Cricetulus griseus: one gene and its partner. The protein of the gene in region 2 purifies or fractionates together with the protein of the main gene of each other region. This does not show direct contact. Links are inferred from orthologs where the notes say so. Each region holds a gene or a part of one and is shown on either strand. Other genes may lie near its edges.

The links.
Region 1: the proteins of Ptpn21 (region 2) and Trip6 purify together in Homo sapiens (affinity purification with mass spectrometry; 3 studies listed by BioGRID and IntAct, with this or other methods). This does not show direct contact. The link is inferred for Cricetulus griseus from reciprocal best matches to the Homo sapiens genes PTPN21 and TRIP6.

The regions. Positions count from the first base shown.
Region 1 is NC_048597.1:116,225,460-116,229,664, forward strand, and holds the start of Trip6 (thyroid receptor-interacting protein 6), read right to left. Parts: upstream 2,838-4,205; 5' UTR 2,678-2,837; coding exon 2,569-2,677; intron 2,320-2,568; coding exon 2,192-2,319; intron 2,079-2,191; coding exon 1,953-2,078; intron 1,700-1,952; coding exon 1,316-1,699; intron 845-1,315; coding exon 751-844; intron 653-750; coding exon 483-652; intron 1-482. Other genes in the region: Slc12a9 (solute carrier family 12 member 9), read right to left, coding at 3,526-4,205. UniProt on the Homo sapiens protein: Relays signals from the cell surface to the nucleus to weaken adherens junction and promote actin cytoskeleton reorganization and cell invasiveness. Involved in lysophosphatidic acid-induced cell adhesion and migration.
Region 2 is NC_048598.1:106,997,720-107,001,279, reverse strand, and holds part of Ptpn21 (tyrosine-protein phosphatase non-receptor type 21), read right to left. Parts: intron 393-3,560; coding exon 1-392.

The DNA of each region.
Region 1 (4,205 bases), on a different chromosome or scaffold from region 2:
GAGTTTCAGGCCAGCCTGGGATACATGACATATTATTCCAAAACTACAAACAGGCAATCAAAGAAACAAAACCCAAAATGTTCTTTTGGTTGATGGACCAAATGATCTCTGGAAACATGTGCCCTGGGTTGACTTTAGAGCCTGTCCTGGAACTAGCTCTTGTAGATCAGGCTGGTCTCGAACTCACAGAGATCTGCCTGCCTCTGCCTCCCAAGTGCTGGGTTTAAAGGCATATGCTACCACTGCCTGGACAAACCTGCTTTGTAGCTAAAACTGACCTCAAACTCCTAATTGTCTCTCCTGCAGATAGCCACCACGTGGAGCTCCTTCCTTCTTCTGTTTCTGCTTGAGTTCCCAGCTTCAAGCCCCCTCCATCATCTGCCCCATCTGACTAAGTATCTGGCCCTCTCTTAGATGGGCAGGAACCCGCCTACCCATCTTGATACTTAGTTTAGCCCTCTTTCCCCCAGCCCAACACTCACCACGTAGCAGCTCTCACAATATGCCCTCCTCTCCACAGCATAGAAGTGCTGGCCCCGGAGCTGGGCCCGACAGGTAGAACACACAAAACAACCAACATGGAAGACACGGTCCAGGGCCACAACCCCAGCTCCATCGCCAACCACATCTTCGCCACAGCCACCACACCGACCTGAGGATAGAGAGCAATGAGCATCAGTCTGTACATATCCATGTCACCAGAGCCACCATCTCCTCCCTCTGCCCACCCTACCCACCAGGTCAGCTCACCAAAGTACTCCCCACTGGGCGGGTGGCTCATGTCATGCACCAATTTCTTGGTCAGTCTCTCTAGCTCTTCTTCCGGAGGTTGGCTTAAAGGGACCTACAGTGAGAATCAGGGCTTTGTGGTACTACCTACAGTCTCTGATACCATGAATAATCTGTAAGGTCAGAACCCTGAAACTCATCTGAGAACATCTCCCAGAAGCTAATGGGGGGGAGGTACCTAGCCCATTCCCTTTGGCCATTTTGACCCATGACCTCTAAGTACTCCAAAAACCAGGATTGATTTATTCATTTATTTATTGTTGGAACAGTGTCTCATATAGCCTAGGCTGGCCTGGAACTTGTTATGTAGCCAAAGATGACCTTAATCTACTGATCCACCTGCCTCTACCTCCACCATGCTTGTGGATAGAACCTTGGAACCCCTGCATAGTAAGCAAGCACTCTACCAACTGAACTGCCTCCCCAGCCCTAAACCAGTATCCTAAGTACTCCATGCCACCCAATCAATGCCCACTTACCTAAAATGACCACAAACCCAGTGTCCCCCATCCCCCACCCGGCTCACCTGGGGCCCATGCCCGCCTCCTCTTCCTCCTCCTGCAGGGCCATGTATCCCAGCGGCTTCCTCCTTTACCCCTGGTCCTGGCTCACGGTGGCTCCTATAGCCAGACCCCCAGACTTCACTACGGCCTGGCAAAGGAAAGTGGGGGCCTGGAAGAGGCCCAGAGGCCTGAGAGGCCCTCCGCCTTGGCAGTCCACAGCCTCTCACTGGTTGAGCCACCTTCACTTGTACAGGGAAAGCAGGACCAGCTGGAGTGCTGGCTGTGGCGTAGGAGGCTGGGGTAGGTCCACCATAAGGGGCTGCTGGGAGCATAGGGGTTGGAACAGCACCTCCACTGGGCTTCAGGGAGCCTGCGCGGTAAGCATGGGGTGGAGGGACCTCAAAAGCCTGGGGAGACACGCAATGGAGAAACAGTGAGTAAGGCCCTAACCAACATCCATGCATTCCAGGTGGGAACCACAGAGAAGCAATGATTTCTGACAAGTTCCCACGGGCAAGGCCCGGCAAGGAGGCAGCCCGTGCTTCCTTGAGCCAGCTGTTCATTAGTTGCAAAGTGTGGAAAGGATGGCTTCAGGCTGAAGAGCCACAGAAGGGAACTGGCTAGGGATGGGGACGCAGACACAGGACACAGGACACAGACCTGTCGGTCTGCCCGCCGAGGAGCATGACTGCGACCCCCGTCCAGATCAGCCAACATGCTAGTGAGTGAATCTATCTCAGCATCCAGGCTTCCAGGACGGATGACACCCCTGTCTGGCGGGAGCCCCTGGAGACAGAGCCAAAGCAGGGAGAACAAATATAGACCACAACCCTTGGGCTTCTGTCGCCTTCACCCTGAGACAGAGACCCACACATCCTCCTCTCATCTCCAATTCTCACCTGCAGACGCTGGGGTGCTCCGTGGGAGCCCACCCAAGTAGGCCCCCGATCGTCCGGTACCCCCGGAGGCTGATAACACTGTTCAGGTGGGAGGGGGCAAAAATTGACCCTGGGGTGGGGCTGGAGTGCTGTAAGGGAGAGAACAGAGGTGGGAATGGAGAATGGTACCTCGTGAAGGCTGCCCTGCTCGGGGTGCCTCTCCTTCACGCATCTGGGGCGTCTGGGAAGGGCTAGGAATCAGGGAAGGTTGCACAAGGGCAGGGGCCTCTGGCTTGGGGAGGAGACATCAGAAAGCAGACAGACAGGAGAGAAAAGGTGAAGGAGAGTGGCCAGTAGCTCCCCCGCCACTCCCGGGTGTGCGAGAGACAAACACTTACTTGCTCCGTGGGCCGGTGGCGGCCCCAGGGCGCCTCGGGGAAGCGCTCTTCCCTGGGGGACTCTGGAGGGCTCTGGCTGCTTCGGGGGAAGCCAGGTGGGCCCCGACATGGTCTGGGATGGTTACTCCACTCCAGACAGAGGTCACGGCCCCCACAAGCCCGGAGCCCTCCTGTCCCGTCCCACGCCCGGTTTGGGACTCCCGCAAAGAAACTTTTTCTGGCTTTTTTTTTCCCCCCTTCCTCCCCAATTTTGGGGCTGGCCCCGCCCCCTGACGTCACCACATTCCTAGAGAGGGTCACGTGGTCCCCCTAAACCCTAATCTGCAATCCCTCCCCTCTCTCTCTTTCTGTGGCCCCCTCCTGTTAAGAATGGGCCGCCCGCCTCGGGAGCCAAGCCACAGGGTGAGCTGCAAGGCGCTCAGAGGCTGCGGCCCAGCCCCTTCTACGATCCCTGCCCCAGGACTGCACGTGGCAGCCTCTCGGCCGGGACCTCAAAAGGCTTCTGGTCTCCACCCCCCTACAGATCTCTCCCTTCCCACCCACCTCCCGCTCACCTACCCACCAGCAGTGCTCCGCCAGCCCATAGTGTTTTGGTCTTTTATTAATGGTCAGTAGTTAGAAAAATAAAACAAAACACAAACATCACCACCCAAGGAAGTGGGAGAGGGAGGCGGTGCGTCTGTGGCCAGGATGGGGACACTGAGGTAGCCTAGAGTCGCAGAAGAGACCAGCCCCTCTGGTCAAGGCACCAATGAAGGAAGTGGAGGCAGGCCAAGGGCAGGGCCACAATGTCCTCCCAGGACTATGGGAACAGCCACCCAAAATTAGTGTCTACGTCCCCCCCATCCAAAGGAGACCATGGTCCCCTTAAAACATCATCCGAAGGGCAGAGTCCACTGGGGGATCCATTGTTCAGAATGGGCCTGGGCCCTCTATGCAACCCTGTCTCAACAGGCTTCAGAGATCAGTGCAGGTGACTGGAGTGACTCCATGAACAAGAAGGGTGGGGCCCAGGTCCCGGCTCAGGGTTTCCAGCAGCGCCAGGTATCTGGGGTAGCGGGCAGGATCGGCAGGCGGTCGAGGCAGGTACAGGAAGGTGAGGGCAGTAGCAGGTCCCTCCTCCCCATCCCTTCCTTCAGGCCCCCCAGGGCCTCCTGCCGCGCCTCGCCCCTGCTGGGCACGCACCAGGGCGTTGGCACTGCAAGCCAGAGCCTCGGCCTCTTCATCTCCTCGACCACCATTCACAAAGTCCCCTTCCTCTTCTTCATGCTCCCCAGTCTCGGCCCCTTCACCCCACACCACCTCTTGCACCTCTGCCCGGATCCTGAGTTGACTCAACAGAGCCCGCAGCCTGCCCTCCGCTGCCCCAGGAGCCTCCCTAGGCCCCAGGCACAGGAAGATCCGGAGCCGGGCACTGTGCCACGCAGGCACCATGCTTAAGATGGTAGCCATCTGCAACAGGAAAAGGCCACAGACGTCCACGTAGCCAGGCCCACCCCGGGGCCGCAGCAGGTTCAAGGGCCACACGTCCACGTGATGTAGCTGAGCGCTGCTGCTGGACCCCCGGCTTAGCCGCTCCGGGGGCAAAGCCCCACAAGCCCGGGCGAGAACCACATTCTTGTTCATCTTGAGAGCAT
Region 2 (3,560 bases):
GACCAAGGCATCGGGCCTGCTGTAGGCGTAGGAACTGCCAATGTTGAGATTCCTCAGAGAGTGACTGTGCCTGTCTGCGTGCACCATGCCTCTGTTGAGCTGCTTCATCACAGTCTCATAGTCGGGGGTGGGGCGGTAAGACGGGGGGATCAGGGCGCTGTGCCGATGGGATGGGATGTAGTCGGGTCTCATGACATCGCTGCCACTAATACTTGGGTTGGAGGACATAGGGGAGGGCTGCAAGTAGGGCTGGGGCGTATTTAAGGAGTTCGTGCTGTGTGCGCTGTACACGCTGCCATTGCGGATGCGGCCACTGAGGTCCATTTGGGTTCTGTCCAAACTTGTCTGGGAGTGACAATAGAATCCATTCTTGTTGGGCACAAAGATGTTATCTGAGGAAGGAAAAAGGTTTTAAAAGATTTTGAAAATGTATTAAGTTGGACTCATTACTCCAGTCAAATACTGAGATAGGCCCCGAAAGAGTCGGAAATTTTCTTGCTAAAATGACACATCTTCAGTCACACTAAGTTGCCCTGGGAGCTTCAGCTTCCTCGCCTACAGGATGGGCAGGTCTGCCCGCTTCAAGCTCGCCTATAGGTTGGGGTAGGTCTGCCCGCTTAAAGCTCACCCATAGGATGGGATAGGTCTACCTGTTGAAAGCGAGGTACTTAGGATATGGACGAATCTAAGTCCAATATTGAGAGTATAATTGTATCACAAAGTAATCTTTTTTCTGAAAGTTAAAAACATATACTTCACTTAGACAAGAAGCAGGTTTTCTGGAACACTGTGGAACTCAAAGAAGAGATACTGTTGGCGCAATGAGCCACGGTGGGTAGGGACACAACCCTGATGCTGAGCTAGGGCAGATACCAATGATCTATGAACATTTCCTTAACTGGAATTTTAGATTCTTCTTTGATAGAAAAACAAAACAAAACAAAAAAATCCATGCTACAAGGTCCAGTACAGCAGGTACAGAGCTTTCCTCTCCAACAGGGAGAGGCACTGGTAGTTGTAACTCCACCAAAGGCCCAAAAGCCAAGAAGAACCAGGCTAAGGTAGCTGTCATTGGCCCACTAAGCCTGCAGTTGAGCAAGATGTGGATGGAAGGCTGCAGGCTCAGGCTACTAATCCTACAGTGCTGGTGTGCCTGCCTGGGCTAGAAGAGGACTCGACCTACAGCTCACCTGAACTGCCTTATGAGCCCCAACATCCCAACTATCGTCACAGAGCCTTCATCTAGTACTTGATGGAACCAGACACAGAAATTCGCAGCCAAGAACCATGCCTAGCTCCAGGAATCCAGTTGAAGTGAGAGAGGAAGGAATATATGAGCAAGGGAGGTCAAGATGATGATGGAGAAATCTACAGAGACAGCTGAACCAAGTTCATGGAAACTCATGAACTCTACACCTACAACCATGGAGACTCCGGGGGACCGAACTAGGCCCTCCCTATGTGGGAGACATTTGTGAAGCTTGGGCTATCAGAGGGGTCCCTGGCAGTAAGGCCACGATACAAACCTGGTACATGAGCTATCTTGTTGAAGCCCATTGCCTATGGTAGGAAGCCATGCTCAGCCTTAAAGCATGGGAGAGGGGTCTGGCCCTGCCCCAACCCATTGTGCCAGACTATGTTGACTCCTCATGGAGTCCTTACCTGTGAGGAGGAGTGGACTGGGGGTGGGCTGCGAGGGAGGTGAAGGGGAGAAGCGAGGAGGAGGTGGGAGGAGGGATAGGAGAGAGAACAGTGGTTGGAATGTAAAATGAAATAAAAAAAAATTGTTTTAAATGGAAGAAAATAACCTGCAGAAAGCATTGTTTGTGTAATTCAGAAGCTCCGTGGCGGTGTAGTGTCTGATTACCTGCTGGGCACACTGCATTCTGGGGCGCACACAGCTCTGAGAAGGCCAGTCCCATAGCTCTCCCCTCCTGCTGCACTCCACTGCCTCTTCCTGTGCTTCTCCATCTGCAGAACACTCAGCCATTGCTAGATCTCTAGATTCCTTTTTTGTCACAGATCCTTCACCCAGTTTGTCTAGAGCAGTGTGATACCTACCTACCTAGTGTCCCTGCCTCCAGGCTCTCTAAGAGCACACAGGACTATCTATACTTCTCCATCCCATGATGCCAAGCACATACCTGTGACTAGTAACATGGAGGAGAAAGTGTGCAGAAAGTTAAGAGCCAGTTTCTGAGAACTCCTCCTCCCATGCCCCCAGTGCCTTGACTTAACACCATTACAGAGAGAAAAGGCTCCTCCAGTCTGAGACCCCGATACAGGCGGACATGGAATAGAGCCCACCTGCCAGGATGCAATGGACACGAACTCTGATGGAGAAGTAAAGCCACCAAAGGTTTCTAATGTTGTTAGCACAGCAGAATCAGACCATCCTGGCTGAACAGCCGCATGTGAACTGGAAGGAGGTTGGGTTTAGGGTGTGTGGGTGTCGGTGCAGAGGGCAAAGCCAGGGTCCACTCAGACAGAACAAGCTAGAGAGAAGCAAGCTGACAGCCAGAAGCTAGAGGAGAAGGACCGGCTAAGGGGATGTTGAGGAGCATAGGCCTACAGGCAAGGGATGAGCGTGTATCAGGGAGGGAAGCTGGAAGCTTTCTGTCAGGTCAACTGGGGAGTGTGAAGACCAAAGATATATTCATGGGATGTAACTGCTAATGAAAGGTACAAAAGGACAAGGACCTATGTTGGAGCAGGAGCAAAGGGACAGGGAGAAGGGGATATAGAAAAGATAGTGCATGATGTTACAGGCTATGGCTATTTCACTGACTGGGTAAAATTACATGCATCTTGGAATCCACACAACCAGAGAGTGACTTCATCATAATGAAGGACTGTAAAAACAAACAGACTTGCAGGGTAAAGCAATGACTTCAAATTTACTATTCAATTCCCAGCAAGCCCTGATAGTTGACACCAGTTCCTGAGAGACTATTATTGGCTAGAGAGCCTCCATGCGGGGTTCCCACCTGTCTGACAGTGGGAAATGGGATATGGGTGGAACACGGGGATGATGACAGGGTGGGAAATGAGACTCTGAGTCACCCTTAGAGGAACTCCACATGAAGGAGCTGCTGTGGAAGCCCCCTCAGGGAAGGAAAATTCCAGACAGATCTTTGTGACACCACCTAATACTAACAGGAAGACCACCTATGGGTGTGGAAACCTCTGAGAGGGATTAAGAGGAGCCAATGGGCCGGAGTATGGAGACATCACTCTCAAATGGAGTGCAGTCAGAAAGGGAAGATAAAATAACCCAAACCATTGTCTGAAGAAGAAAGGAAAGAGTGGCAGGATCGTCATAGATCAAGCAGCACAGAGACAGAAGGCAGAAGCCTTGTCCCATGGTTGGAGGGGCTTTGGTTCAAGTACAGATGGGTATAGAAGAGGGGGCAGGAATGGGACAGTCCCAGAGGACACTGAACTCCACACCACAGCTCTGTTCTGCTATCGCCATCCTCAACTCTGCATAGAAGGCCACAACTAGAAGTGCAGTCAACACGCCTTCTTCCTGTCCCTTCAGACCTGTGCCCTACAAAGTG